Caenorhabditis elegans: one gene and its partners. The protein of the gene in region 2 purifies or fractionates together with the protein of the main gene of each other region. This does not show direct contact. Each region holds a gene or a part of one and is shown on either strand. Other genes may lie near its edges.

What was found.
Region 1: the proteins of acdh-4 (region 2) and rfc-3 fractionate together in Caenorhabditis elegans (co-fractionation; one large-scale study listed by BioGRID). This does not show direct contact.
Region 3: the proteins of acdh-4 (region 2) and T27F6.6 fractionate together in Caenorhabditis elegans (co-fractionation; one large-scale study listed by BioGRID). This does not show direct contact.

What each region holds. Positions count from the first base shown.
Region 1 is NC_003282.8:13,087,917-13,097,580, reverse strand, and holds rfc-3 (Replication factor C subunit 3), read right to left. Parts: upstream 1,820-9,664; 5' UTR 1,813-1,819; coding exon 1,637-1,812; intron 1,593-1,636; coding exon 881-1,592; intron 820-880; coding exon 643-819; 3' UTR 501-642; downstream 1-500. Other genes in the region: dli-1 (Dynein light intermediate chain), read left to right, coding at 1-2, 53-283, 331-465; C39E9.12 (SAP domain-containing protein), read right to left, coding at 2,202-2,407, 2,457-3,194, 3,241-3,391, 3,436-3,570; prcc-1 (Proline-rich protein PRCC), read left to right, coding at 3,825-3,890, 3,949-4,452, 5,185-5,745, 6,198-6,284; col-132 (Nematode cuticle collagen N-terminal domain-containing protein), read left to right, coding at 6,514-6,651, 7,246-7,938; spin-2 (Major facilitator superfamily (MFS) profile domain-containing protein), read right to left, coding at 8,097-8,191, 8,265-8,529, 9,113-9,664.
Region 2 is NC_003279.8:6,542,250-6,552,726, forward strand, and holds acdh-4 (Short/branched chain specific acyl-CoA dehydrogenase, mitochondrial), read right to left. Parts: upstream 6,427-10,477; 5' UTR 6,383-6,426; coding exon 6,229-6,382; intron 6,179-6,228; coding exon 6,078-6,178; intron 5,848-6,077; coding exon 5,404-5,847; intron 5,036-5,403; coding exon 4,939-5,035; intron 4,891-4,938; coding exon 4,745-4,890; intron 4,695-4,744; coding exon 4,479-4,694; 3' UTR 4,368-4,478; downstream 1-4,367. Other genes in the region: T10E9.2 (C2H2-type domain-containing protein), read left to right, coding at 34-120, 167-245, 298-925, 1,077-1,236, 1,285-1,538, 1,584-1,736, 1,796-2,036, 2,087-2,508 and 1 more; T10E9.1 (F-box domain-containing protein), read left to right, coding at 2,861-2,943, 2,987-3,542, 3,619-3,842, 3,888-4,005, 4,058-4,246; F57B10.8 (Activator of basal transcription 1), read right to left, coding at 6,552-6,758, 6,811-6,892, 6,936-7,105, 7,153-7,254, 7,783-7,934, 8,008-8,101; spg-20 (Inheritance of peroxisomes protein 1), read right to left, coding at 8,437-8,771, 8,824-8,931, 9,052-9,420, 9,467-9,671, 9,751-9,846, 9,891-9,972, 10,078-10,202, 10,253-10,363.
Region 3 is NC_003279.8:12,486,393-12,498,374, reverse strand, and holds T27F6.6 (Putative neutral sphingomyelinase), read right to left. Parts: upstream 7,400-11,982; 5' UTR 7,396-7,399; coding exon 7,302-7,395; intron 7,044-7,301; coding exon 6,776-7,043; intron 6,129-6,775; coding exon 5,921-6,128; intron 5,649-5,920; coding exon 5,385-5,648; intron 4,962-5,384; coding exon 4,730-4,961; intron 4,254-4,729; coding exon 4,015-4,253; 3' UTR 3,845-4,014; downstream 1-3,844. Other genes in the region: T27F6.8 (F-box domain-containing protein), read left to right, coding at 682-763; K11D2.1 (RCC1 domain-containing protein 1), read right to left, coding at 875-886; T27F6.7 (uncharacterized protein), read right to left, coding at 1,181-1,315, 2,228-2,423, 2,506-2,656, 3,251-3,542; pars-2 (putative proline--tRNA ligase, mitochondrial), read right to left, coding at 7,580-7,765, 7,982-8,167, 8,549-8,947, 9,234-9,506, 10,297-10,495, 11,213-11,334. UniProt on the Caenorhabditis elegans protein: Catalyzes the hydrolysis of sphingomyelin producing a ceramide (N-acyl-sphingoid base) and a phosphocholine. C.elegans contain specific sphingoid bases, which are unique or different in structure compared to the sphingoid bases found in other animals.

The DNA of each region.
Region 1 (9,664 bases), on a different chromosome or scaffold from region 2:
GTGTAAGTTTTACATAAGTAATTGGAGAATCCGAGTTCATGATTAATTTCAGGAGTCTATTCCGGATGTGGATTCAGCTTTAGAGCCGACTCGCGATAAGCTTAGACCTGTCGCAAAAGAGCAGCTCATCGAAGCCGAGGAAGATCAGGCTTTCTTGAAGAAGTTGATGGACATCCTGGCAACTTCAACCACTACGGCCGCTCCCAAGCCGAGGACTATGCAAGAAGAGCCTACCGATAAGGACAGTCCACTCGCCAATTTCTTCTCCAACTTGCTCAATAAGGTAAATCAATCTTAGATCTTTTTTCTATGTGAATTTCCATATTTCAGGACAAGCCGAGCAAGGTGAGCTCTCCTTCCACTGTTTCCCAGCCGATGGATGCCGCAGCCACCCAGGCCCAACTCGATCGTCTTCTGAAGTCTGCGCAAAGCCCGAAACCTCAACCCCGGGACAGTGATGCATAACGTCATTTTCATAATCTATTTAAATATTTTAAGCTTTATCGCCGGTCATTTTATTCTCCTTTGCGATACGATTTTTATTATATGCTGTTTCTGTAAATACCCACACAACCATAATGTAGTTCGTTTCAAGTTTATGATTACACAAAAGTAGAATAATATAATACGCGGGGACAGAGATCACTTGGGTTTAGAAGCATTAGTAAGGTAAATGTCCATGAAAGCGGCGACGAATCCTTCAAGATGGAAAATTGCTTTTTGTCCGAGAACAAGGCGATGCTCGAATTTCGCTGCTTCACTGACAACTTCACGTGCAATTTGTGGCGGACATTTGGGAAGGAGATGCTCGAGAAGTTTCTGAAAATGTATTTCTAAATATTTTTGAACATTTTATACTATTTGTGTGCTTATAACTCACCTTAAAAATGACAGTTGGTGGAATACATCTGGAGAGCAATTCGTACAATCGTTCGCGAACTTTCAGAAGCATATCGGAGCTCTGTTTCTGGAGGATCAGACGAGCAGTCTCTTGGATATAAATCTCCCATTCCGGAACCGGAATTACTACACTTTCAGCCACACCACTCTCGTTCTCCATTCTTAAAGCCTCAGTCATCAGAATAGCTCTTCTCAGATTTCCTTCAGACTTCTCCACAATCTTTTGCAAAACGTTCTCCGGAAGTAGAAAGCTCTCCCGTTCAATCACTTTCCGCAAGACTTTGGTCACATCTTCATCGGTTGGAGCTGGCACATTGATGATGATGCAACGAGATTGAAGTGGCTCAATGATACGGGACAGGGATTCACAGCTCAAAACGATTTTACAGTTATTCGCGTACTTCTCCATAGTTCGACGAAGTCCGTGTTGAGCATCACGAGTCAGTGAGTCCGCTTCACAAAGAACGACAACTTTGAACGATCTTTGAGAAGTTGATTCGATTTGAGACGTTTGTGCCATTTCTTTAACGAGATCCTGCACAACAACTCGATCATAGATTCCAACATCAGACGGCGTCATTTCGATGTGATAATTGCTCGAGACAGTCTGTATTTCAAGTTTTTTATTCGACGGACTAGTGAACGACTTCATGATGAGCTGCGTTTTCTCGACTCCAACACCGTAAAGCTCTCTGAAAAATATTATTTTATTTACTGAATTTACCAATAATTAAACCTCAACAGACACTTGATCCGTGTCTTTTTTCCAGCTCCACTGGGACCACAGAACAAGAGATGCGGCATACAGTCTGCGGAGAGAAACTTCAAATGATTGGCCTGCTCGATGTGATAATCAACGCCATCCTTTCCCAACAAGTCCTTTGGTCGATATTTGTCCACCCACAACGCCATTTTTGCACTAGAAAAGATTAATATTATATTGTCAGAGTAATTAAAGTCCAAAATAAGCGCGAGAAATAGAAGGTGGAACCCGAAAAGTAATTCCGCGGCACGCGCTTTTATGGTAAATTAAAAAATTAAACCGTGCCGCGAATTGCGCTTCGGGAATCCGGATCCACCGTATATTTCTTGCTAAAAAAATTAAAAGACATATTCAAAGATATCACAATTGTCGCAAACAATTGAATAGAGGAATAAATAAATAGAAAATAAATAAAGAGAATTGTAATAAATTAAAAGAATTCATTTTCAGAAACTCGACAAGTCAACAACGAAATATTTTACAGGTTTAGCCTAGTGAGACGAGTGAGTGAAGATAAATAAGAAAATAATTGAGATATCTACTTGATATTCATTTTACGCTTGAGTGCGATAATGTCGTCACGGCGCTTCTTGTTCTCCACTTGTTGTTTCTCGAGGTTCGTGGCAGCTCTTCCGGGGATTAATCCTTCCTCCAGTGCCAAAGTGAACTCGCGATCCGTCAATTGAGTCGTGTCGACGAACACTTTTCTCGTAGAGTGTGGTGTGTAACCAGCACGTCGTGGAACTAAAAATTGCTATGAATTAGCGAAAAAAAGATAAATATGAATAGTTACCTCTAGTTGGAGTGGTTCCTTTTGGCGTGGAAATGTACTCGGTGAATGTATCATCTTCTGGGACAGTTGCAGGAATGATTTTTCGAGAAGTTAAACGGCATGGTTTCGGGATTTGTGACTTGGTGAGCTTCTTCACGTCCACATGAGATCTTGCAACGGACTTTGTCTTTTTGGTAGAGGTGGTGGCAGCAGATGACGATGAGCAGCCAGCTCGTGAGCTGACAAGAGCGGGAAAATCATCAGCAGATTTATCCCCGAATTGGAAGGACATTTTCTCAGGATCCTGAACTTGCCAATTGCGCGCAGCAGATCTTGTAGTTGATCTATCAACTGGGTCACGTCTTGGCACACTTTTCGGGGTAGCAAGTCTCCTGATAGCTTCTGGGACGTCGCCGGTCATGAATTCGTGTCGTTTCTTCAATCGTTCTTGACGCTCTCCGAGTGTTTCTTCTTTTTCCATCTCTCTTGCATGAATCATTGCGAATCTGTCTCTTCCACTGGATGGAGCACGCTGACGAACTGGCGTAATTCCTCTGTTCTCGATCGGCATTCCTGGTCGCTCAGATGTTTGAGGAGTCGACGAACTAGCGCGGAGAGACAGTCTTGTCGAAAGACGATGAACTCTCGGGCGTGACTTCACCTCGAAGCTTTGCAGATCGATTCCCAAACTGCCACAGAGACGGTTTCTCAAGTCATCATCCAAAACGACAGCAACCGCATTTGTCGGAGTATTCTCGTCTGTAATAAAGCTGTTTAAATTTCAACTAAATGGAATATAACTTACGAACAAATCTGCCAGTAGTATTCTCAGTTTCTTCTTCCTCTTCAACTGTGAATGTGCGATTGGCAGGTGCTTCGTCGGTGTCCATAGCCTCGGCTTCCGGCTCTTCCCTGATTGCCTCCCCGTTTCCGGCATTATTTTGGCCAGCGAGAAACTGAAAAAGTTAAATTAATCACATTGTTTCGACTGAGTTCAAACCTCCAAAAGACGCGATTGAAGTTCCGATTTCTTTCCCGCAGTCGAAGCCCTTTTCTTCTTTAACTCCTTGCGAAGCTTGTCGCATGTCATGTTGAGCACGTCCTCTTCGGCGAGCTCTTTATTTTTGGCTGACATTTTACTGAAATTATTATTTTTATTGAATAGTGAGAACAGAAAAGCAAATGAAACAAGGAACAAATGAACAAGAAACAAAATAGGACTCAAGAAATTTCCCTCCATCGCTGTTTGAAAAATTGTGTTTTTCGCGCGGTGTACGTTGGAGCGCTGTTGCTTTCTTATTGTGTGTAGTCCTCTCGAATAAAGAAATCAATATTCGTATTGTTTATTTCGTCTGAAATTATTCGTTTCTTCGAAGAATTCTTCTCAAAATGGGCCTTGTGGATTACGCAGGAAGTGAATCAGAAAGTGATGAAGAAATGGAAACACAACAAAAAGTAAGCAAATTATTCTTTATTCAGTTTGAAAACATTTTCGAATTTTCCAAAATTTCAGAATTCACTCGCTCCACAAAATCAACAACTCGTCGATGATGAAGCATTTTTTGACAATACAGAAAAATCAAGCTCACCAAACATGAACAAAGAAGATGTTCTCGAAGAATTAGTAAAACCGAAAGAATGGGAGGTTAAATTGGCCGAGAAAGCAAGGAGAAAGCTGGAGAAAAAAGCTCTGAAAAAAGCACAAAAAGAAGAGAGAAAAAAGGAGAAAAAATTGGCGAAAAAAGCGATGAAAGTTGAAAAAATTCCGAAAATTGGTGGTGGAATTCAAAAAGCAAAAGGAAAAGTTATAATTTCGGCGTTCGGAGCTCTCGCAGGAATTACTGGCGAAAATTCCAGCGATGACAGTGATAATGAAGGTGCTGCTGTTGCTACAGTTAAGCCGAAGCTTGGAAACAGTTTTTTGTCAAACCTTCCAGCTCCAAAAGGAAGAGATAATCGTTCAGATGGTGCAAATGTATTCGATAAGTCCATGGTTCCACATTCAGTTTCTAAAAAGGTAAAAATTGAAAGTCGAGTGCGGATTCTGAGAAAATATACTTCTGATTTCGAATAACTAAGTAAAAAAATTTCCCTAATTTCTTATTTCAGCTTGAAATCGCCGATTTTCATTTGCGTCCCCATGAGATTTCCGAATTTTCACACCAGAGACGTCATGTGTCGATTTACGAAATGTGTGTATATTTACGAGATTTTCAATCTTAATCGGATGCTGATTTCCGGTTTTCTCAATTTTCGTCAGTTTTTGCCGAAACGTTTTTTGAAAATGTGTTTTTTTTTGAGGTTAATTAAACATTATAATATCAAAAAACTAACTAAATATTCGATTTTCAGTCAGGAAAAGCATATATTTGGATTTTCCGCTGAGTTGTGACCTAAGCATTGGAAATTTACTTGGTTTTTTGATAATATAATGTTTAATTGGCCTTAATAAACACATTTTCTCAAAACATTTTGTCAAAAACCGACGGAAATAAAGAAAACTCGTTGAAAAACAGAAATCAGCATCCGATAAAGATTGAAAATCTTGTAAATATACACAAATCTCGTAAATCGACACACGGCGTCTCTGGCGCGAAAATTCGCTGTTTCAAGCTAAAATATAAAACCGGGGAATTTTTGTTCGATTTTTGTCCCCATAAATATTAAAAATCAGGATAAAATTTCCAGATTTCTTCACTGAATTTTTATTTAATTTAAAACTTTAATTTTAAAACTCTTTCTCTTCCAGGCTACACCTGCTGCTGCTCCAGTTTTCAAGCCGGCTCCAGCTCCAAAACTGCCAGACGACAGTGATGACGATGATGACGGTCCAACCGATTTCTTCGGTTTCTCATCTGCTCCAACTAGAAAAGAATCAGAAATTCCATCAGAAATTCCATATATGACAATGAACAGCAGCATGGATGTAGTTGGGCCATCCCGTCCAGATGAAGGAATGGATCCTCGACAAATGTATGAAATGCCAGAAGAAGAAGAAGATGTTCAAGAAGGTCCATCTGCTTCAAATGCCTGGCTTCATCGGAAGATCAATGACGAGCAAGCTCATAAGCTTTTGATGCGATTCTCTCATGATATTGGACAAGAAGAACGTCGTTCGATCAACGAAATGGCCAATTCAATTGTCGATGTGAATGTGGATGATGCTCTCGGACCGGATGTTAAGACAAATATTATCAAGAATCTTGGACATCGCGCATTTGTTGAAGCAACTTCTGCTCCATTGCCACAAGTTCAAACTCAAGGACAAATGTCGAGAAGAAAGCATCAAATTACGTATTTGGCCAGCTTGGTAAGAGATATTCCAGATTTTATAGATTTTCAGGCTTTTACTTGCATCAAAAACCCAAAAAAAAAATCGCGAAAGAATGGAAAAGTCAATTTTTTAAAACTTATTTCTCATTTTTTGGCTGAATTTCTTGATGGAATATTCGGTCTTCAAAAAATTGAAGATTTAAAAAAAAACGAAAATTTTCAATTTTTTCGAAAACCGACAAATCGGAAACAATAATTTTACGGAAAAATACGAGAAAAATATAAATTCACCGAAAATGCAAAATCAATTGATTTCAATTACAAAAATACAGTTTTTTTTTCAAAATTAACAATTTATTTTAAAAAAATCGAAAAACCCGATTTTAGCCAAACAAAAGTGCAAAGTTGTCCTCGTGGAGTATGAAATCTGCGTAGATCAACACTTTTTAAGAGCTTGTGCTAGAAATCACATAATTCACTTAATTTCAGGCAGTATCCCGCGAGGAGCAGCTCAAAGATCAATGGGCCGATCAGAAGCAATCGAAGCGAATGGCGCGACAAAAGTACGGATTCTAATATCATTTCGAAATGTCTCATTAATCATTCAGTTTTCTCTCTCCCTTGTATTTGTGTGTTGTTTTGATGATAAACACCCATATAAACACGAAATGAATTCATTCGTTTTGAAAGTATAAGCACGTTATAATGATGAGAAAATTGCGCGATCGCTCGTTAAACGGGCATTAGCCGGCAGAGTACATAAGGCCGATTGGAAGGCAAGGAGGACAGGCAGAGATTGTCTGAAATGTCGAACAACTTCATTTGCGCAGCCGTCTCGGTTTCGTCGATACTCGTCGTCGGGTATATTACAGCGGGGCTGCTCATTTTCGCAGATTTTCGGACTTTTTATTCCACGGCACTTGATGACGTGGCAGAGTTCAATGTGAGTTTTTTCTGTAAAAAACACGACAATTTTTCGTTAAATCCAAGAAAAATCGTGCGCCTTTAAAGGTTACTGTAGTTTCAAACTTGTGCTGTTGCAGAATTTTAATCGATTTTCCGCGTGTTTGTATATAATTTTTAACAAATAACTATTTTTAAAACAATCGATGAAAGTTCTGCAAGAGCAAAAATTATCGATTTTTTCACAGTTTTTTGGCAAATATAACAATAAAAACACGTAAATTCATGAGAAAAACTGTGAAAAACCAGATACAAATTACGTAGCAACGAAAACACAGTACTCTTTAAAGGCGCACACCTTTTTTATTTAACAAAAGTTTTTCGTGTCGAGACCGGTGACCGTAGTTTCAGCTCAAAATGCACAAAATTTCTCGTGTGGGATAATAAGAAACTATGCGGAATACCAAGTGTTCCTTGTGGAAAAACATTAAAGTCTCTGAAACTGCAATAGTATAGTTAAAGATAACATTGATTCGAAAAATATTATCAAAGTTTTTTTTTTTTGAAATAATTGCTCACGACTCACGGCTCACGACGCGGCAATTTTTTTCATCAATCTGGCCTAATTTTTCAGAAGTTCGCAACTGAAGCCTGGGATGATATGATCGAAATCAATCGCTCCGTCGTAAGACAAAAGAGAAGTGGAGAATCAAAGTGTGGATGCATGAATAAGGTCAATAACTGCCCACCCGGACCTGCAGGACCACCAGGAGAGCCAGGAGCCCCTGGAGATGACGGATGGAATGGAGACGCAGGACAACCCGGACCAGACTTTCCACTCTTTGATCAATCCCTCATCTATCAAAGACCCCCATGCATTCGCTGCCCAGTCGGAGAGCCAGGACCTCCAGGTCCAGACGGAGAGCCAGGAGAGCAGGGACCACCAGGACCACCGGGAGTTGACAACTTTGAAGTTGGACATGATGGACCACCAGGTGTCGAGGGAGAACCTGGAGATGCTGGAGATCAAGGAGAAGACGGGGAGCCAGGTGTCGATGGAAGACCAGGCGCCAGTGGAATCAGAGAGATAGGAATGCCAGGAGCACCAGGGGCACCGGGTGTTGCAGGAGCTGAAGGACTCCCAGGCAAGGATGGAGAGCCAGGAATTCCTGGGCCAGAAGGGGAAGAGGGACCACCTGGAGCAGCAGGATTGGATGGAGAGCGGGGAGACGAAGGGGAGCCAGGACCTGAAGGACCACCTGGAATCCCAGGACCTGATGCAGCCTACTGTAGCTGTCCACTTCGTTCGGCACGTCTTGTCTTCTAATTTATTCCGAAACATTTTTTTTTATTTAAAAGAGTTTTTATTTATACAATAAAAATTAGCAGTTTACAAAAATCTTCACAAAAACGACAAAAAACCCGTTGTTCTAAAAATACATAAACCCAAATTATGGACATTAAAGCAATGAAATCAAGGAGGAATTAAAGTCGGGACGACGCAACGTCGTCGTTAATTCCAATCCGTTCCAAACTGTCAGTTGATGTTCGAATCGGCTTGGATTGAAGATCATCGAGACCTGAAATAATTCCAATAATAGCTGACTAAAATATACGTTTCCCCGACACCATACAAGAACAACGAGCACTTACCCATTTCCGCTCGGAACTTCTTCCGATCCGAGACCAGCGTGAGTGAGGACACAAAGTACAGTCCGGCAGAGAGCAAAAGCAGTGCCACGCAGCAATACGTGGCACTTACCAATGAATGATATTGATCTTTAGGATATGTGGATCCGTGGCGGATTGCGTCGGAGATTAACCCGATGAGATACGGACCAGAAGCGTCGCCAAACAAATGGGATACCAGTACGAAGTAGGAGAAAGCAGTACTTCGCCGATTCGGGTGGATGACAGTCTGAAATTTGTTCTGCTATTATGCGTTCTCTGGTGTGCACGTGGTGTCAGAGTGTCTCATTTCGGCTTGATCTACGTTGATCTACAAAAAATGCGGGAGAAAAGACGCAAAGTTCTCAATTGATTTTGCATGGTTAAGAACGTGCTGACGTCACATTTTTTTGGACAAAAAAATCCCGCATTTTTTGTAGGTCAAACCGTAATAGGACAGCCTGGCGCCACGAGTGTGCGGCGGTTTGTTTTTTTTTGGTTTTCAGGTTTTCCGGTTTTTTAACTTATTTTGTCTGTTTCAGTACAGTAATTGAACCGATTTTCAGGTACTTTTTGAAAAAAGAGAAACAGTTTTCACGTTCGTTTATTTTTGCAGAAAACGCAGTTGAAGGATCCTTGATCTTTACGGAAACTCTAAATATTTTTATCGGAGATTGATTTTTCGATCACTAAAAAATGAAAATATTTTTGAGAAAAGCTTCAAATTTGATTCGCTTCACAAACAACAAAAGTCAATAGGAATCGGGAAAATCAATCACTGAACACCCTGTTTCACTCATTGAATTTAAAAATTTCAATGTCGCATCACTAACCGTCAACATATCGATGTTCAGACCCCAGTTGAAGCACATGAAGGTGATTCCAAAGAAGATCATAATGTACAGCAACACCAAGCTCTTATCTCCAAAGATCATTCCAATAAGTAAAAATGGAGCAGCAAGCAACGCCCCGCCACCAGCCACCAAAGGCTGTGCTCTGTCTGTCTGGAGTCTTCTGAATGGTCCCCATCCAGCTACCAGCCATTTGGAGAGCATCGATCCGAAAATGACACCGATGAGTCCTCCAGCTGTGGTGATTGCTCCGAAATAAAGAGCTACTCGATCCTTATCAGTACTTGCCAGATCCTTTGTGTCATTAAGTCCTTGATGCCAAGCAGTCAAATGTTGAATTACTGTAGGCTCCCACCACGAAAGAGTTCCAGACACGAATACCAGGGCAGTGTATCCCCAAGTGCATGCAACAAGTGTTGGGGTCTTGAGAAGAATGACAAGATCTTCCAAATATGTAGTATTCGTAGTCACAACAACATCCTTCGACTCTCCCATCGCCTTATCAGCGGCTCCTCGCTCAGGCTCATAGGTGAA
Region 2 (10,477 bases):
AATTAATCAGAGCGAAAAAATACTTGTTTTCAGCAAAATCTGTTGCATGTCTGTGGATACTGCTCCAAACTGATGGGAAACGATGAAAAAGAACATTTGGAACATGCAATGAGCCATCAGGTAGGAATAAATATTTAAAATAATATTAATGAAAGACTTACTGTAGAACGAAGTAACCCAATGTCGTACCTGCTGTATTCCTGTAAATAAAGAAGAAACAGAAGATCATCTGAAACGAATTCATGGTAAGTAAACTTGGGATGAAGCAAAATTCGATATTTTAAATTTAAATTTCAGCCTGCAATTATCGTCACATCAAATTTTCCATTGACAACTCTTTAATCGAACTTCGGATCGCCGCTGGAAAATCATATTCAAACTTTTGGGGTATTCGCCTCTCTTCAACGGATTCCACACTAAACAGCTTCAGTTCAAACTCTGCAAGATGGTGGCAGAACTTTAAAAATGGGCGGTCTCTTGGGACATTCCGAATTCTAAATTCAAAATTTAGCTGGAAATGTCCAATGTGTGAAGGAAAATCAGCCGTTAATTTCAATGAGACAATCAGTATGCGGACATACGCCCTGACTCATTTAGAACATCATCATTTCGAAGAAGTTATGGTTAGTGTTCCTGGGTTTTTCGAATTTGAGTGGTATCATCTCAATGAAGAGACTGATTTCGATGTGAGAGCCTTAATGCATATACGACAACAAAGAATTATGTGCAAAGGGCGGAGCTATTTGACATTTTACACTATTAACTTGTCTAAAATGGAAAACGGTGAGAATTTCCTGACAAAGTTGAAGAAAAGAAGTGGAATGGAGAAGGAAGAAGTCAGATATTGTCTTGTTTGTTGCTGCTTGGTGTCTTCTGAAACAATTAAACAACACTTTCGATTATCAAGTCATAGTTGTCTAGATCCGTAAGTTAAATAAAAAACTATTGCGTAGTAAAACTTGAACAATTTTGATATATTCTGGAGCACCAAAATTACTGAATTCGTAGCACAACTCTGATTTTTTGATAAGGCCTGCCTGCATAACATTCGTTTTTTTCAATTATTATTTGTTCAGTATCGCATCGAGCTCATCCTTCACACATGTCCAACCTGACCCAAAAGAAGTTGCGAACGAAGCCGGTGAGAATGTGAATAACGCTGAAAATCCAGAAGAAGAAGAAGTATACACTTTTGAATTTCCCAAGGAATTGTTTCTATATTCTAATGTTTTCAAGGTACATTTTTTTTCAATTTCAAATTTAAATAATTTTTTCGATTTTTAGAACCTACGAAAAGATGAATTCAAGTGGCGTTGTTGTCTCTGTCCACGTGCCCATGCTCACATTTTCACGACTCAACTCATTATGAGAATGTATGCTCTTCGACATATTGATCAACATCACAAGTACCTTTTTACTGAAGAATTCATGAATTATGAATGGTTATCGGCGAAACATGAAATCAGAGCTTCATTCGATATTAGAACATTCACACCTCTTCAGTATACGATTAAGGGAGAATCAACGTTCAATGCAACGTAATTTTTTTCAAAATATGTTCTTATCAGAACAAAAACTTTCAGAGATCCAAATGATTATACTCTTCCACAGCAATACTTTTTTATTCCAAAAGATTTCATCAACGAGACAGTCATTTGTGGGTTCTGCTATCGATCATTTAATAAAATTGATTTTCTACTTCATATCGTTCTTCATGGATTTAGAGTCGTCACCAGGTTCTTTTTTAGAATATTCTACAAAATTTTTCGTGAAATTAAACCCTTCGAATTTCCAGAGAAACTGCAAAACTTCGTCCAGCGTCTTATACTGAAACCGCGAATGAATTGATGGGACAAAATAACTATTCGGATGGTGGACTTGATGATGAACCACACAATATTTTGTCTGTCGATGGGAAGCGGCTAAAATCAAAAATGGATTTATTAGCTAAAAGAAGTTACCTGAATGTTCCTCGATTCTCAGAAGTAACTACGCCTGGCAAAAGTGAAAGAGACACTGATGGAGAAATTTATACGGTAATTCAAAATACTTTTAAAATTAAAATTATAAATATCAAAATTTTCAGCCAAGTGGTCGAAGATCTGCTATGAATGCTCGAAAACTTCTCACTGAAACCTTCAAAGTTCTCCAAGATAACTTTCGAAATAGGAAAGACACGTGGAATGAATCATCGTGCTCTTCTTCGTCTTCGTCGGATGAATCAAACTCTGAAGACGATAGATTCGAACGGAATTTGTTATTAGAAGCTACTACAAAAGATGAGAGACGAGAAAGATCGAAAAGTACAGAACTTAAAGTGAAAGATTTATCAAAAATGAGGCCAGCTGAAGTTCGTGAATGGGTTAAAAGAGAAGCTGAAAAGCGAGGAGTTGACTGGAAAGATCAGTCATCATCATCAGAAGGAGAAGATATGGAATCGGAAACTACCACGGAACGAATAGCAGGAAATAATTGGAATAATATGAGATTAAAAGATATCAAAGAACTGTGAGTTTGTAAAAATTAAATTAAATTTTTCAATTTTCTTTTTTCAGTGTTCGCACAGCAGCAAAAAGGAAGAAGATTGATATTTCAAACGATTCCAGTAGTGATTCAGATGATTGTTAGATTACGTAGTAATTTATTCGTTGTTAATTTATTAAAATAGTTTCAAAAATAGTTTTTCGATACTCAAAAAATAAATGCTTTCAATTTTTAAAACTATTTTCAACTTTTTTTTTTGTTTCCAACTTCTGTTGTACAGCTCAGGTCTCAGATTATTTGTGATATATTTTCAAAATTTCCGCCAAGGTTTGCTGTAACAAACTGATCCGAAATAATTGCTTTTTCTGAATTTCAGATGGTGAGAAAACCTATCGAAATATTAGACTTGCCCCCAGAATTGTTAGAGAAGCTTATCGAGAAATGTGATTTAATTTCAAGGTATTATTCTCCTTAAATAATTTTAAAAAAATCAAAACTTTAGATGCAAACTTCGTGCAACCTCTTCTACTATGAATCATGCTGTTTCATCTACAAAACTCTTCATTCCATCGGTCTATATCAAGGATCTTCACAGTGTAGGAGTTCTCGTAAAACTTACATTTAAACTATTCAAAGATGTACATTCTCTCAAGTTTAAAATGACTCCCGAATGCGACACAAGAATCTCCCAATCTTCGAAAAATGATATTATAATTGAAGGATCTCGACCAATTGATGAGGCTATCGCATTCCTTAATCGAATGTGTTTTCAAAATAATGTTGTTATTGGATTCCTAACTGTAGAATTATCAGATAATTTCGAGGAATTGAATAATAAGTTTATGGAGACATTAGATAACATGGAAAGTTCTCTAAAAGTTCAATCCATTTTTTGGAGAAATCCGCGAAAATGTGACCTTCTCTGGAAAATGTTTGATAAATGTGATGGAAGTTTGCTGAATGGTTTGAAAATAGACGGACAAGCTCGTGATGATGACGATGATTTCGATTTTCTCGGGAAAAATGCGGCAATTGTGCAAAAAATGGACAAAATCGAGGTAAGATGAGTTATGAATATATGCGTTGCACTTTAGAAAACATATAACTTGTGACTAGAGAAATTATGTGTTTCAGATCTCTACTATCACCACAGCAACCTATGAAGACGTCATGGCACTAAAAGCGTCAGTGATCTCTCTCAAATCCAAGAAGTTTACTGGTGACCTTATTTGTGACGTCATCGAGAAGTTCGTGGCTACCAGATCAACTGGATCGAAACTTGACATCATGAACCCAAGTGGCCTAGATTTTGAAAATATTCCTGCAGGATTTACACAAGTTGAGCAGGACTCTGGCCAGTATGTCATAATTTGACAATTATTTTTTGAATATCTTAATTTCAGCAATGTATATCACAAGCAACTTCCAGATGATCAAAGACTTGTAGTTTTATGGAAAAGTGAGAATTGGATTAATTTAGAAATTGGAAAAACCGGAAATTATGATTTCTCGCCTAGTTTTGTAAGTTCAATATTCAGTTTTCATGTCTCCAAATAAATACGTTATTTTTCAGAAGAAAATTCTACTCGGTCTACCCCATTTCGCTGACGATTCTTCGGAGTACGATGACAATTATGATGATTATGATAACGATGAGGATAGCAATTTTGATCCCGATTATGACTACGAACGTTATGAAGATAATCTCGATGAATCTGACTATGAAGATACAGATTATGGGGAAAACGAAGAATTCTATTAATAATCAAATTGTAACGTTTCGTTTTTTCTCTCGTTCTCTTATAATTTTATATAACTAGACGTTCAATAGATACAAATTAGAATAAATTTTCAAACAACATTTTCCCTTAGAACACCAACATGAATCCATATTTATCAAATGAGAATATCGAATTAACCCTCGCAATAAGGAGGAGAGGTACATTTTCAGGCCTTCTGTTTAAATTCGGCGTCAATTAGCTTCGCGATGGTGCTCAATTGAATGTTGGAAGTTCCTTCGTAAATCGTTCCAATTTTACAGTCACGATAGTATTTCTCGACGGGGAATTCTTTGGTGATGCAAAGAGCTTCGCCATTGCTGCCTCACGAACAAATGGTAATCCGTGTTGCTTCATACGAGCAGCATTGTAAACCAACAGACGAGCAGCTTCGATTTCAGTTCTGACTTGAGCAATTTGATGTTGCATTCCCTAGAAGTCTATTGTATATATATATTTCTCTGTCATGTTTTATGTCTCACCTGGAAATCAATAATTCTCTGCCCAAACTGTTCTCTTTGTTGAAGATATGGAATTGTCTGATCAAAACATCCTTGAGCTAATCCAAGCATTTGAGCTCCAATTCCGATACGACCAGCATTCAAATATTCAATTGCGTACTTGTAACCTTTAAACATTGTGTACTTAAATTGGAATTATTAATTCTATAGTCAACCTTTTCCAAATTCTCCAAGAATTGCCGACTTGTGAACGCGTACATTATCAAAATGAAGTGGGCACGTAGAAGATGAACGAACTCCCAATTTGTCCTCCTGAACTTGATGATTATTACGTCCATTTTAAAGCGGAACCGCAAAACTCGATTTGTTGCGTTTTTGTACAAACTACTGTACCCCCGTTCTCGCCAGGAATAAAATAACTGGAATACAGTAACCCCATATGCCTGCTTCCATTGATTTCCTTTGAGTCCTTGATGTATTTCATGTTTTTCAATAATTTTTTCAGCAAAATAATGTCTTGGATAGAAGAGACGATGAAAAAACGATACAATGGGTTACTGTACTTCTTGGAGGCACTCATTTTGAGCGTCATTGACTTGATATTTTGTTCGTGGCGAGACTTTTTTGAGCGAAAAGTCACAATAAATAACTCTGGAAAATGGTTATAAAAGTTAACTTACATGCTTTCCAATGGTAAATCCTTTAGTACCCTTTTCAACAATGAAACATGTAATTCCTTTGTATCCTTTACTTGGATCCGCATTAGCAAACACCAAGAATGTTTCCGATTGCTCCGAATTTGAGATCCACATCTTTGATCCATTAATCACATAGTCATCTCCATCTTTCTTTGCAGTTGTTTTCAATGCAAATGCATCAGATCCAGATCCGGTCTCGGAAAGAGCAAATGATCCAACTGATGAAGTATAACATTTTGGAAGATATTTCTCTTTTTGTTTTTCTGTTCCAAGTTCAATAATTAAAGGAATAAAGAGTGTATTATGAACATCAACCATTGCTCCAACCGATGCATCAACTTTTGAAATTTCTTCAATTACGAGAGCAGCATCGAAAAACGTTGCTCCAGGGCCACCGTACTTTTCAGGAACTTCGATGCCCATCAGCTGAGGTTAACTTTAAACATTTTCAAAATACATTATTACCCAGTTGCTATACTATGTAGACGTCGCGCAAAAAAGTATGCGCCTTTAAGAAGTACAGTAATACATTTCTCAAAAATGGGTTACTGTACTAATTTGAAGGCGCATCGTTTTGCGCAGTTAATTAAAAAATACATTTGTTTCGTTGCGAGACCGTAAAGTGTCGCAACTGGATAATTACTTTCATATAATACCCCATTTTCAAAGCATCCATTGATCACAGCTGGAGTCATTTCCGAAGTTCGATCCATTTCACGAACCAGAGGTTTTATCACTGTATCCGCAAATTGACGAACTTAAATTGCACTATTTATTCTCTGAATCTTTTAATTCTTCAGTACAAACCAGTTTTAACGAATCCGGTTTCCTGCTCCGACAATACTTGCAATGGATGTGGAATATCATCCTCATTACGTGGTTTTGAAGATAACAATGATGACGTGCTAGAGATCAAGCGTCTGCATGAGCTCAAACGGAGTTGGTGGACGAGAAGAGACATTTGGAAGAATTCAAAAGAAGGAACTACATTTTTAAACATTGGAAAAAGGTTTGTGTGATCATGGAGGAGAATTATGGTCACGCTTTTATATTTAAAAAAGTTTTCAATAGGGCAACAAAAACAGTGAAAAAGTAACAATAAAAGTAACAATGAGAAAAAAGATTTAATTTTATTTGAAGATCATATTCATCAATTCGCTACTCTCTGTGTTAACATGTTTTGATCTTTCCTTCTTCACCTTCACAACCTTCTTCTGCTGGACATCTCGCTGGAATTTATCCCACTTTCCACCGGAAGCTGTAACCTTTGCTTCAAGCTTTCTCAAATGTTTTCCTTTCTCAATTTGTTCTTCAAAGTGAGCAGCAATTCGACGAGCCTTGAAAAGAAGAATATTAATGCAAAGTGGCCAATACCGGGGGTTACTGTACCTGTGCGACTTCCACATTCATTCGTCGTTTTTCCACTTCTTTTTCATATTGTAATTGTTCCATAAGATGTACCCATTTGAAACTAGAAAAATAAAAATTCATGTATATTTTCATGAATAACTTACCCAGATAAATATCTAATATTCCATAACATGCTCGACACTGGATCCTTATTCTTTCCACCAATCGGAGTGTTATCAATTTGTTCAGCAATTGCTTTTGCAATCTTTTTCTTTTTCAACTCCATCCATCCTTCTGAATATAGATATTGCGGATTTTTCGAGTGCTTGTTACGCTAAAAATATAATTTTTATGATTTCATTTGAAAAAAAAATAAGCTACCGCAAGGAAGATTCGACCAACTTGTCCAGGGCATCGCTTTTCAAAGTATTCACGCATTCGAACCACGTTGTATTTTGGAGGAATTGTTGAGAAGAAGACAACCTGAAAATTACTTTTTTTTATCTGTGGCCTCTAAAATAGTCTAAAATTATATTTTATCAACAATCCGAGAAGGGATCTTTTGAAGTTAACTAATCCTTCTGAAGAATTACTTAAAATTTTCTAACATTCTGATTGTGAGCAGAATATTTTTTGTTTTTTTAAACAAAATTAATTTTTAAAAGCGAAAAAAACCTGGAAAATTCTTTTAACCTGTCGGTAACTCAAAACTCATAAATTTTCATTAAAATTAGGAAAAAATTGGTATTTTTTTGCGCTTTAGACTCGGAATAAATTCTATACAGAAAAACGACACTCAGAATTGTAACTGTGCAAAGTGTTTCTATTTAAAAAATGCAAAAATGTTCGTTATAAGCTCTGCTTAAAAAAAACGATTTTTCATGTTTCCTTTTCGATTAAAAAATGTTTCGCTTTTTTTTATTTTTTCAATTACGAAAAAAACGTTTTTTTTCTAGGATTCAACCCTAATTCTCAGGTATTTTCGAATAAAAAAGTTAAAAAAAAACTTACACCAGTCTTCTTTTGTTTTTGTTCTGGATCCTCAAAAGTCTCCATTTCATCATCTTCTGATTCTTCTGTTTTAATTTCAGAATCGTCCAGATTTCCAGCTTCATCTTCATTATTATCTGTTTCAATGCTTTCCTCTTTTGGTTCAAGCATTTCTGAAAATTTTGATATTTTCGGATAAAAATTGCGAAATCAATTTATAGTGCAAGCATTAGTTCGAATATTCACCTTTTTCCTCTTCCATTTTCATATCTTCTTCTACAACAGGCTTTTTGATCGATTTTCTCACAATTTTCTTCTTCTTTTTTGGAATAGGCGCCATTTTTCCAAAATTTATAATTGCTCGAGATTTTCCAATACGTTAAAATCCTCAAAAATTTTCTACGTTTTTTTTTTTCGAAAATCGCACTGAAAACAAATCGGTATTTTTTGCGCTTTCAAGGCATAAACATTCAGAGATATAGAATTTTAGATTAAATACATGTATGGTTCAAATATAACTGTTTTGCGAAAATAGATTTATTAAATAATACAATGCAAAAAAATTAAGTTCGATGCATGAAAAATTAAACTTCGTAAAAATTAACTGGAATTGAAGAAGACATGAGGAAATTTGTATTCAAATTGTTTCTAAAATAATGTTTTCAAAAAAAAAATCTAGACAGCCTTCTTGAGCTCCAAAGCTGGCACTTCTTGATCTAAACGACTTCCTTTTCTACTGTGATGCAAATCCGATACCATTTGAATTCCAGCTTTTCTTGCCATCCTTCCAGCAACACTTCTTGGTCCCAAATCCCATAGTTGAGCAGCTGCAAGTGTTCCGTGTCCGGCAGCGAAAAGAGCATGATGAGTGGTATCTGATGCATCGTCTCCGTACTTGAGTTTCACGTTCTGTACAGTTTGATTCGCAATACTTCGGCATAGATGACGGGAACCATCTTCCAAACTCATCCAAACTGTGGCAACACCAGTGATTCCGCCTCCAAGAATTTCTGAAAATAGTAAAATAAAAATTATTTTATGGAAACCAGTTATAAGCCATACCAATGGTTCCGGATACGAGTCCTCCACTTTTTCCATCTCCAAATCGTCTTTGTGCACTATCTGCCAATTTCTTTCCCATCGAAACGCCCATATCTCCGATTTTGTCCACTGAAAATTTGAATTTTTAAATCCCTAATACTTGAAAAAATATTTGGCCAACTTTTCGTGTCCAAAATATTTTTCAGAATCTCTTCTCTACAAACTTCTCTCTTAAAGTCGAAAACTTACACAAATATCTTGTGCACTTAGCGACTGTCTTTGTTCCTTTATGCATATAAACTACACTTCCTTTGATAACTGGAGACACTTGCATTGGTTTGTCCGTTGCGATAAGTGTTGTTCGATACTGTTCTCCATTATCTTCAACTCTTGAAATCACTCGTACGGTTGTTGTTTCAACTCCCCAAGCTATTTTTTGACCTCCTTTGATCAGAAAATTCGAAATTGTTGTAGAAATCCTATTCTTCTCTTCTTTACTCAGTTCAGTAGATGGTTCAGCTTGTTCTTTGAAATCCGTGAATTCACGGAGAACAATGTGAAGTTCTTCAATTAATCTTCGCTCAATGTCTGATGATAGTAGGATTGCAACAGTCATGTCTGAAAATTACAAATTGAAATCTTTGAATGTCTGAATTTTTCCCACTTGGATTTTCTGGAGTCGGATTGGCAACCAAATATGCTCCGAATTCGTTACGAAGCACTGGAGTCTTTGCACCCATCAATGGATATGCCCAAGGCCCAACTTGCATGAATGCAAGTGTATCTGAAGAAGCTCCACCATCAGTTGGCTGAGGAAAACGGAGAATTTGAAGAGATGTTGGAGCAGTTGGAGCAGTTGTTTTTTCCCCCTGAAAATATAATAAAATTGTAGAAATATTTAGAAAACTATCTATAAAAGAAATTTAAACAAAAGAAGAAAACACTTACATCAATTGTGAAGAGTTGCACACCTTCCGGCAAAAAATAAATCAAGTCAGCTTCCTGAGATCCAAAGGAGTCGAGCTGCATTCTGATTGCTTCTTTCTGAAAAAGGAAAATGAATTTAATTAATTAAAATGAGTAAATACCTCGTTTTCAACACTTTCTTCAGCTTCCTTGATTTTCTTTGGAGTTGGTTGCTTTGGTCCTTCCTTTTTCAGAACGTTGATTCTATAAACTTTTTTTTTTTTCAAATAAAAAGTCGAAAAAAATAATGTGAACTTTAAAGGTACTTTTTCGCGGTTTTATCAACGTTTTTAATTCAAAATCACTCACCTATGCTGGACACTTGATTTTGATTCTTGTAACATTTTCCACATTTCACTTTTCCTCGCATTTTTCATTTTCTCTCCTTCGACGATCAAATTCAATCCTTTTTCGTACATTGCGAGAGTATTTTCCTTAAAAAAACAATTATTTTCAAAGTTTTCATTCAAAATAATAAACATACCCAATCATTAACCTCATCGTAGCATAATCCCTGTTCAATTGATGCATATGCTCCAGAAAATACTGCATCAACCTGAGCAGTATCAGGAATTCTCATAAATATCGAGAACATTGCTGAAAATTTGACTGAAACAAGTGATTCGAATGAGAAAAAACGGCACGAGTAAAAAAACATGCAAGAGACCACACAACAACAGCGAAAACAAGTTTAGTCGTCGGCGTCTCT
Region 3 (11,982 bases), 5.9 Mb from region 2:
TTAGGACTTCAGGTTACGGTCTTTAGACTTCAATTTTGAGCTTAGAAGTTTTAGCTTATGCTTTCAACTTTAGGCACTCTATCTAAGGCCTTTTTGAACTCCAGCTCACATTCTTAGGTTACGGCTATAAGACATATGTTTCAAGTCTGGATCAAGCCCCAGATAGCCCCAGAATCTTAGGCTCAGGCTAATACCCTTAGACTTCCGTTTCAGGTCTAAACCGTAGACTCAAAGGAACTAAGAATTGGTGGCTGATTGTTTGGCCCGTAGCCTTGGCCTCTCAGGCTTGTTAGGTTAGAGCCCTGAGACATCCGGTTCGAGTGGTGACTCAGAAGTGTCGACCCTTATTCTGTAGGCAATTTGGCACAGGTTTTTAAGCTTCGGCTGAGGCTTAGGCATAGGACTTAAAGCTTATGTCAGCAAAATGTGTTGTCAAACTACATTTTCGCTCATTTTCTACGCTTTGGGCTTAATTAGACCCCCCCCCCCCCCCAAATCTTCAATTTTTAAAGGTTTTCATCAGGGTTTTCGACGAAATCCACCGTAATTCAGAATTAATTAGTTCTAATTGTGATTTCTGGTGATTCCCGGGTAATTTGGCCAAACTTATCACATTAGAAGGGCGTACGGAACACAAGTCCAACCAACAAAACACAGTATCCTTAATCAAAATTTTTTCAGATGCTGGACAGGTTCCCTCGGATGGGATCATCGCTACGAGATCGTCTTCAACAACAATTCGCCCAAGGAGTGCCACGTGTAAATCACTTTTTTTCATAATTTCTTCGTTTTTCTCATCGTCTTGCCCTCCCTCTCATTAGCTTTACAACCTCCACACTTTTTTTGAAAAATTTTCAAAAAAAAAATTCCTCACCATTCTGTACATAATTCCGATTGTTTGAGACACTCTGTAATAATAAAAATTCCTATCCTTTTTTCTGAAATTTTTGGCAGAAAATCGCTAAATTTCGGTAAAAGAATCCGGGAAACTTGGTGCAGAAAATTCAGAAAAAAATTTTTGGACTAAAATTTATGTATTTTTACATGAAAAAACGGCAAGGTAAGAAGAACTGACAAGAAATTGGTGAGAAATTATGCAAAATAAAGCCATGGTACAGAAGATACACAGATTGGAGAGAGAAATACAGGTTTTACATTAAAAATAGAAAAAGGGAACAATTTAGGCAATGTCATCGTTGGCCGCCAAAATGACACGTGGCGGTGGTGACGTCACCGGCTCACCGTCGGTCGACATGGGGTCCACCTGGTCACCGTCTTTGACGTAGACAATTTGCATTTGGGGATTGAGGCGTTTCTGGAAACAGGGAAATTTTGAGGATTTTTGAGGAATTTTATTAATTTTTGAGTAAAATCTTTAAGATTTTCAGCGGTTTTGAACACTGAAAATCAAAATTTAAGGGTCTCGTAGCGTGCCGAGATTGTGTAGATTTACGGAGCCTTCCTCTTTACTACAGCTCCGTAAACCTACACAATTTCGGCTCTTCCCGCTGGGTCCCTGGAATGTTGCCCAGCTGTGAAATTTTGTATTTTTGGGTCAAATATATGGTACTGGGTCTCGACACGACAATTTATTTTTAGACTAAAAGCGGGCGTGCGCCTTTAATGAGTACTGCAGGTACAAAATTACGTTGTTTCGCGGAATTTTCATCGATTTTTCATGGTTTTTTATTAAAAATCGCTGTATTTGTGAGAAAAACCAGGGATGGGCGGCAAACGATTTTTTTCGGCAAATCGTCAATTTGCCGGAATTGAAATTTTTCGGCAAACCGGTAATTTGCCATATTGAAAATTTCCGGCAAATCGGTAAACTGTCAGAATTGAAGCTGTTCGAGAAATCGGCACTTTGTCGGAATTGAAAATTTCTGGCAAATCGGCGCTTTGCCGGAATTAAAGCTGTCCGGCAAATCGGCAATTTGCCGGAATTGAAAATTTCCGGCAAACCGGCAATTTGTCGATTTGCCGGAAAACACTTGTCAAACCGCAATTGCTGCTCACTCCTGAGAAGAATTACGAAAAGTTAGAAGCTACAGTACTCTTTAAAGGCGCACACCCTTTTGAAGTCCACAGAAAATTGTCGTGTCAAGACCATTTCTGGCTCGAAAATCGCCAAATTTAGCGTTTTTCAAAGCTAAAACCGCTAAAAAGATCATTTTTGGCTCAAAAACAGTAATTTCACGAAAATATTTCAACTTTTCCGGCAACTAACCCCATGTTCGGCAACCCGAACCTCCTTTTTATGGATATCCTTGGCTTCGTAGTAGTTCCGAGCCTTGGTAATCGACAAAAGCATCGAAGTCTGAATTCCGACAAGTGTCAGGTAGAAAATCGATAATGTGAGGAACGTTGGCGTCTGTTTGTCCGGTGGATAGGCGAACAGGGAAGCCGAGTTGACGAGGTGATTTCTGAAGAAAAATTGGATTTTCAAGTGGTGGCCGAGGTTTTTCAGCTGCGTTTTCTAGTCCGCCGGGCAGTTTCTAAACTTACGCGGCCAAAACGTAGACAATCAGCTCGACGACAATCAAAAACGTGTAGACCATGATTGCTGGGATCATATGCACCGCAGACTCCTTTTTTATTCCGATTATAACTTGCCAATGGACTAGGACGCCGATTATCAGGAACAGGAGGGAGGCAACTGCAAAAATTTTGAATTTTTTGGATTTTCAGGACGAATTTTGCTTAAAAACTGGAAAAATAACTCAAAAATTTGAATTTTGCGCCGACCGCATGTTGCAAGCGCGCTCTATTGCGAAAACTACCAGATTTGTCGATAGAGCGCGCTTACTGCATCCGATCGAAAGTTTTTTTAGGTTTTCGAAATAAATTTGTGATCAATTTTCAAAAAATCGAATTTCAACTTTCATGAGAAAATTGTTTGAATTTTCGTAACATTTCACGATTTGTAGAGATTTCGTGCTAGAAAATCAAATTTCACGCCTGATGCAAGTCTGCTCTATTGAGAAATGCCCCAGAAATTTCGAATTTGAAGGAAAAATTCCAGTTTTCCAGCCGATCGCTGGCAAGCGCGCTCTATTGAGAGATATGCCGAAAACTTAAATTTTCGGCGAAAAAATCAACAGAACCTGAGATTATTATCGTTTTTGTGCAAAATTTTGGCCAAGATCTTTATAATAGACTCAAAAATTTAAATTTCGCGCCGATCGCATGCTGAAAGTGCGCTCCAACGACAAAAGTGCCGGAAATTTAATTTTTCATTAATTTTCCATACCAACAGTGCCCGCATCGAAACCTCGGCCATGATCATCCCATCGGAATTCGAACAAGAACATTGCAAACGAGAAGAGCGAGCAGCTGAGCCCAAAGCCAGCGGCAATGGCGGCCGCCCGTGTCGCATGTGTAAAAAACGCGCGGTATTCCGGAGCGTCGTCGTCAAAATGTGCCACGTGGCAGAGCGTGGGTGGCGGCCGTTCGTCCACTTCGTCACCGGGCAGTCCGAATCGCGAGTAGGTGACCTGGGCGTTCTCCGATCGACGTTTCAACCATCCCAACATTCGATCCATTGTGTTTCTGCAGAAAAATCAGCTAGAAAGGAGTTTATGGCCTAACTTCTTTTCAAGTTGGTGGACTAGATTTACGACAACCGAAATTTGAATTTTTCACAAAAATCTGTCAAAAATGGCGAATTTTGACCAAAAATTCGCCAAAAACCATCATTCCAAACAGTGGTGGCCTAATCTTCAGGTAGATTTTTCTAGTCCCCGCAGTTTTCTGGCAGTGGCCTGACTTTATTAATCAATAAAAATATGAAAATCGCATGAAAACGATTCAAATTCACAGAAAAAATTAGAGAAAAATCAAAATATATAATAAAATTCTTCATTTCAACAGGAAAATTAGCAAAAAAAAACTATATCACAGAAAAAAATCGATAAAACGGTTGAGAAACTAGATGCCCTTAATAATAAAGCTGTACAAATTCGAATTTTGGCGGGAAATTTGAATTTTTGGGTTAAAAATTGCAATTTTCAGCGTTTAATTATTCAAAATCTGCTGAATCGCCTGTTTTGCGGCCTTCAAAGCCTTCCGTTCCAACGTTAAGCCAATAAGTCCTTGCCAAACGAAGAAAACTCCAACGACAGTCAGTGCAAAGCGTAAAACGGCGAATCCCATCGGAAAAACTTCGAAAAATAGGCTTCCGAGGATTAAAATCAGACAAATTACCGCCAAAATGAAGAAAAAGATGCGATCCGTGCGTGCGCGACGTTCTCCGCCTGAAAAAATGCAAAAAATTGGGGAAAAATCGGCTATTTTCAGTTGGTGGCCGAACTTTTCATTTGGTGGCCTAGTTTTTAAAAAACTTGATTTTTATGGACTTTTTAGTTTTACGAACATGAAATAAATTTTTTAATGTCAAAAAAAAAGAAAAAAAGTAGAAAACCACAAAATTTGAGCCGGTGGCCTAACTTTTTTTCTTGGAGGGACTAGTTTCCAAATATTCTAGGCCTCGAGTACAAAATAAGATTTTTTAAACCAATTCTCGCATTTTTTTGCACAGAAACATGTGTTTTTCCCAGGAAAACTACGGAAAAGAGTTCGACCACCAATTTCCACTCGGTGGCCTAACTTTTCTACACGATGGCCTAGTTTTTCAAAAATTCTAGGCCACGAGTGCAAAATCTGTGTTCTTAAACACTACAGAAAAAAGTTCGGCCACCAATTTCCACTCGGTGGCCTAACTTTTCCGCACCTGCAACAAGCCCGATAGCCTCAATAAGCAACGGACGATTCGGTTCCCAAGTGTTAACAGATTTTTCGTGTCGAAAACGATCATCAATCGTGAAACGAGCGCGGAGGCCAACGTGATCCGAATAATTAAGGTCTTCACCGGGAATTTGGTTCAACGTGATCTCACATTCCTCCAATTTTACATTGCACCGCCCGGATTTGAATAGCATATAGTCGATGCGTTTGGAGTCGTCCTGAAATTTGAAAAAAATCGATAAATTATTGATTTTTCCTATTTTTTATTTTTTTTTTGCGTAAAAATTGTGCACATCGATTTTTTGGAGAAAATCTGGTGAAAAACGCTCTAAAATTCAAGGAAATCGGTTCAAATTCAGATTTTTCAGATAAAATACCAAAAAAAATCCCTGATTTTCTCCAATTTTGTGCTGGAAAATTGAATTTCGCGGCGATCACTACATTGCAAGTGCGCACCAATGAGAAAATCGGGGAAAATTCAAATTTTCGTGAAAAATTCACGAATTTTTATGAATTTTTACAATTTTCATAGTATTTTAGGCTATAAAATCCAAATTTTAGCAATTTTTATCCTAAATTTTCGAATTTTCGAGTAAAATTCACGATTTTTTCAATTTTCAGCGAATTTTTCAAATTCGCACCACATTTTTCAGCGCCCGCTTCGTATAACAATTGTCTGGTCGATCACACGTTCCGCCTTTTGCAATTCCTCGAAATTTGAGTAGTTCTCCTTCGGAATCCTCATTTTCCACTTCGTGGCTCATTCGCCACGCGTCGAAAAGTTTGGCATGCGACAAAATAAGCCGGAAGCCCAAATCACACGGTTCCATATTCAAATCTCCGGTCACAATGACAACGTCGGCTCCGCGAGCCGTATGGCGGACGAATTGAGCAAGTTCGAATGCCTGAAAAATTAAATTTTGTCAAAAATTGTCTATTTCACTTATTTTCGAGTCACATGCTCGAAAAATTGACTCGAAAAATCAAATTCCCAGCTGCAAATGCGCTCTAATGCATAATTATCAATAGAGCGCACTTGCAAGAAGTCCTATGGATTTTTTGGCGGGAATTTGAATTTTTGAGTTAAAAACTGCGAAATCTTGATGGAAAAATTAATTTTTTGAGTAAAACTTCCTAAAATATTGATTTTTTCTGAATTTTTCGAGTTTTCAAGCACCTGCGCGGTTCTGTGCGGCAAATAGAGATCATTTTCACGATCGTACTCCGCGTGAAGATGTGTTGTGTAGAAATTGACGCGCAAATCGCCGTCAATCTCGATTTCGGTAAGCCCGACAACTTTTCCGCCGAACCAGTCGCCGCGGTGAATGTGATGAGCGAATCCGTTGAGAGAATATCGATTTGTTAAAGTGGATACGATTGGGTGTCTGAAAATATGGAAAAAAATTGGAGAAGATTTGATGAAAATTCGGAAAAATTTTTTTTTTTGGATATTATATTATATTAAATTTTATTAATATTAAAAGGATATTATATTAAACGTAATTTTGTTCAGTTTTATCCTTTTAACCCAAATATTCCACAAATTTCTAAAAATTTAACAAAATGTTTGAAAAAAACCGAAAATTTTTTCAATGTGAACAAGTGGCGCAGTGGGATTTTCGATGGCTACCACCAAACTGAAGACCGGGGTTCGACCCCCCACGGTGGCAACTATTTTTTGTTTTGCAGAAATTAGATTCTAGACGTTGTAAAATGAGCAGGAAACTGTTTTTAGTGAAGGTTTAGAGTTGAGATTTGGATTTTTCGAAAAAAAATTGTCATATTTTCAGAAAAAATTACATGTTTTCAGAAAAAATTTTTAAACTAATTTTGTGGGAATGCTAAGATTTTTAAGTTAAAAAAAAAACTTTTGCAGCGTATGCACAATAAATCAAAAAATGTTGCCTTAGTGGGGACTCGAACCCCGCTCTTCAGATTGGTAGTCGGCGGAAATCCCACTGCGCCATTCGGACAACTTTCGGAAAAAGTAGGATTTTATCGATTTTTTAAATCTTTTTGTAGAAAAAATCACCTAGAAAACACACAGACACCACTGCCAGTGAATCCCGAGTGAAAATAGTGAAAATACGGATAAACCGACGAGACTTGCTCGCTGAGTCGCACAAAATCATAATATGACCAGAGCTCCTGGAGCCCGACAATGTCGTAGAGCTCATCAATCATGTATTGGCCGATTTTATTCAGTCGGTGAACTCGATCCGTAGATCCGATGGGCCAGGGTTGTGGGAGACACCACGCGTTAAGGGTAACCACACGGAGTTGACGAGCAGCCACGTTATCTGCAAAAAATCGATAATTCGGGAGGGAAAATCGTGAAAAATTAGATCCCTGATTGAAAATTAAGCTAAAATACGCGCAAAACTAGCGAAATATCAATATTTTGATTCAGAAATTTGAAATTCCCGCCGATCCTGCTGCAATCGCGCTCCAACGACAGTTTTCTCATTGGAGCGCATTTGCACAGTGCAGTCGGTAGAAAATTCAAATTCTTGGGTGAAAAACTTGAATTTCAGCCGTTTTTTTTCCAATTTTCTCACTTCTTCTCAACGCGGCGAATGATTCCCGGCGGAAAACCGGCTCCATGTCGACTTTCTGACTTTCCTGGGACTCTTGCTCGCTGGATGGCTCCATTAGCCTGGAATATGGGCTTAAATTCGTGTTTTGAAGGGCAAAATAGGTATAAAAAGGTTCGAAAACCTCAAAAAACACTAGAAAGAGTCTAAAAATCACATTTTTTCAGGAAAAAACAAGAAAATCAAAGAAATGTAACAAAAAAACCATAGAAATCTCCTAAAAATCAAATTTTCAACAAAATTCAATGCTGATGAGATCCGAGTTGATCAAGTACTTGATTATGTGCCAAATGACCAGAATCGTGTGCTCCGCCACCTCCATAAAGCGTAGATTGCACAAAAGTCACGAAACGGTCCAAGCTCATTGAGCCCTGAGACATGGGCTCCGCAGACTTGGCGTGTGTCGTGAATACCTCGATGACGGGCTTCTGAAATAGGGGAAAATTGGCTTAAAATTGTGTTTTTTTAGGCTGCAAATGCGCTCCGATGTGAAAATTATCATTGGAGCGCATTTGCAGTAAACGAGCAGCGGAAAATTTGAATTTTTTGCTGAAATTTTCAAATTTTCGCCTATTTTCTCCCGTTTTTTCGTGGAATTTCCGCTTTTTCTTTGCTGAAAAAATGGAATTTTCGACCGTTTTTACCTGCGTAGCAAGACTCCGCTCCGTCTCGTTCGCAATAACGAGAATAAATGGAATTCCGAGTCGATTTGCGTCGTGAATTCGCTTTCCGGCCGACATTTCCACACGATCGTCCAATAAAATGCCTCCTTTTAGATAACGAGAAGCCGACGAGCTCGCCATTTCCACAATCACATTCGACATGAGGCTCTGCAAGGAAAATTGGTTGAAAAATTAATTTTTTAAACATTTTAGAGCAAAAATCGCCAAAAAGCGTCAAAAATCATCTCAGAAATTCACATTTCTTGTCGATCACAGGTTGCAAGTGCGCTCTAATGATATTCTATTCGTTTTTTCTCCAAAAAAATCATTTTCAGTAGGGAAAATCGAAAAAAAAAAATTTAACACGAAAATGGCAGTTTTCTCAATGGAGCGCAGTTGCGTCATGCGGTCGGCGGGAAATTTGAATTTTTGAGTTGAAAACTAAGATTTTATCGAATTTTCTGGATTTCGCAGTGAAAAATCTTGATTTTTCACGATTTTTTAGCGAAAAATTCGATTTTTCTCAATTTTTTCTCCAAAATTGCTCACTTTCTTTACAATAATCACAGCATCGAACGGAGCGATAGCTCTGGGCAGTCGGAGAGCCTTATCACTAACTGATAACAAATCAATTGCCGCCGGAAGAAGCCGTGTTACACCAATTCCAAAACAGCACATATCCAATGGTTTTCCTTGAAATTTGGCTCCGAGAGCTTCTGAATATTTGGTGCCGAGGTGGAATGTGTGCGCAATTTCGACGGATGGGATTTTTTGCACAGTTTTTGATGAATTTTCAGCACATTTTTCACATTTCGCCGGCCCTGGACCTTCGAATTTGTTGTGATTTTTGCAATTTTCGCAGAAATTCACAAAATCCTCCTCCAAACTGCTTTTCAGGTGATATTCATGACTTATATGACCTCCATGTACTCCGGAATCTGCTTCCACCTGAAAAATTTTGGATTTCTGTCGTTGGGGCGCGTTTGCAGCAAAATTTAAGCCTAAAATTCAGATTTCCCGCGGATCGCACGTTGTAGATGCGCTCTATCGACAATTCGCAATAGAGCGCACAAGCGACATGCGGTTGGCGGAAAATTTGAATTTTTGGGTTAAAACTCGAGTTTTCAACGATTTTAGACTAAAAATGAGTCAAAACTTGCCAATTTTAGCTCAAAATTTTGAATTTTTGAGTCTAAAAATCGATTTTTCTACTTTTTTTAAATGAAATTTTCACCTTAATCACATCCTCGTCCAACTGCAAAATCTCTCCAAAAATTCGATCATAAATCTGACGAATCTGTGCATATGTTTGTTGAGATGTCTCCGCATCAGTGGAAAACGAATACATATCCTTCATTAGAAATTGACGCCCACGCATTAATCCGAATCTCGGATTCATTTCATCGCGAAATTTTTCACCGATTTGATAGACAATAAGGGGAAATTGTGATTTTTTGAGCGGTGATAGTGTTGCGATCAGTTCTGTGCACATTTCCTCGGCGGTTGGCTGAAAAAATTGGATTTTTTCGGGCAAAAACCTAAATAATTTGAATTTCTGAGTTAAACTTCGAGTTCTCCGTGCTAAATAACATATATCCTTTTATTTTTAGAGTGTTTGGACGAAATCCCGTTAAATTCGGTGTCAAGTACGCAAACACCAGGCTACAGTAACCCCGGGACACTTGATTTGACGACATTTTGCACTAAAGACCTGACAATTGCGGTCTAGGGGTAATTTGCTATGGGAACTCCGATTTTGAGCTCAGAATTCCGAAGTTTTGACTATTTAGTGGATTTTTTCGGCAAAAAGTGAATTTTTGGCCCAAAAGTTTGGCTCGTAAGTCAAAAGTCTGAAAATCTGAGTTTAAATTCGGATTCCACGTGGTAAATAATCCCTATTTTGACTTTTTCAATGTTTTTGTGCAAAATCCCGTCAAATTCGGTGCCAGGCACGCAAACACCATGCTACAGTAACCCCGGGACACCGGATTTTGCGACATATTGCACTAAAACTCAAAATTTTGAAAATCTGAGTTCAAATTTGGATTCTACAGTGCAAATAACCTCAAATCCAGCATTTTCAGGTTTTTGTGCAAAATCCCGTCAAATTCGGTGCCAGGCACGCAAACACCATGCTACAGTAACCCCGGGACACCGAATTTTACGACATATTGCACTAAAGAACTGAAAATTGGGATGAAGGGGTAATTTGCTACGAGAAATCCGATTTTGAGCTCAGAATTTAGGAATTTAGAGTTGTTTCATCAATTTTTCCCCATTTCCAACTGCTCACCCACTTGAAGGCACATATGATTCTGCTGTCGGTCGTGAAATCGAATCATTTCCGGTCCCATCGCCTCCCATCTGCCAGTTTTTTCCCATAATTGCTGTGTTCCGACGATCGGCATCGCGATTTTCAGAGCTCCCGAGTTCTGAAATTCCACGTCGAGAATTCGGCACAACTTGTCGATTACACGTTGTCCGAGGGGCAGGAGACTGCAAAAATTCGCATAAATTTTGATTTTTTGTGAAATTTGAAGCTCAGAATCGGATTCTACGTGGAAAAATACTCTTAAATCATAATTTTGAGAGTTTTAGTGCAAAATGTCGTCAAATCGGATGTCCCGGGGTTACTGTAGCCTAGTGTTTGCGTACCAGACACCGAATTTGACGGAATTTTGCATAAAAACTTTGAAAATGGATGATAAGCGGTTATTTGCCACGTAGAATCTGAATTTGAACTCAGATTTCTGGAAAAATTGAGAAAATCTCGAATTTCGAAAAAATTTCAGCGGAAAAATAATTATTTGACGGAAAATCGTCGGTTTTTGAGGAATTTTTAATTTTTTAATTAGAAAATTAAATTTTTTGCTAGAATTTTTTTTGGGGCTGTTCTACGTAAAAATCTAATTTTCGAACTGCAAAATGAGGTTTTTTGTGGAAAAAAAACCGTTTATGGAAAAATTTTGGGCATTTTTGCGCTGAATTCGACAATTTTCAGTTGTTTTTCCAATTATCTCAGAATAATAAATGAAACTTAAATAATTTTCAGCAAATTTCACTTCGAAAAACGATTTTCAGATTTTTTGCGCTAAAAACTGAAAAAAATCCAATTTTCCTAATATTTTGCACAATTTTTGACATTTCCACAGCTTTCAGGACAATTTCTTGTGATTTTCACGATTTTTACATCAATTTTCACAAAAAACTCACCTATAAAATCCTTTCGCCGTCGGCAAAATAAATCCATTCTCGACGAGCATCGTATGAGCCATACTTTTGCTTTTTTGAGCACTCGCACCACTTAAAATCCATTTTCTCGCTTTAAAAAGCATTTTTCATCTGGATTTCATGGAATTCTGCAAGAAAATCGGCGAAAAATCAATGAAATTGAGCAAAAATCGGGGCGAGCAGCTAGCTGGAATAAAAGTGTGCAAGCGCGCTCCACCGCACACCGGCCGGAAATTGTGGGTTTTGGATGGAAACAAAAGGGAATAAATGGGAGAAATAAACTAAAATAGGTAGAAATTAAGAAAAAAGATTTTAAATTTAATAAAAATGCTTGAATTCCAAAAATCTCTCTTGAAAATTGATTTTTTTTCTTTATTAATCGCTTAAAATTCAATTTTCCTACTAGAAAAATTAAAAAAAAAATACACAGAAAAGAAAGGAAATCGTCTAGAAAGTGGTAAAAAACAGTAATTTCAACCGAAAATCGATTATTACAGCACTTTTGTGTCCGATTGGCGCAGTGAGATTCTCGTCGCCCACCAATCACAAGACCGGGGTTCAAGCTCGCGCTGTGGCAAAAATTTTTTTCAGCTTTTCATTCGATTTGCCATAACTAGTAAAGTACTTCCCGAGTCGAAAACCTATTTTTTCGAAAAATTTCAGAAAAAAAACACAATTTTTTACTTATAAAACGTTTATTTTCGCAAGCACGGAGGGTTGGAGATGGGAGGAGCTTGTAATAAATTAGAATA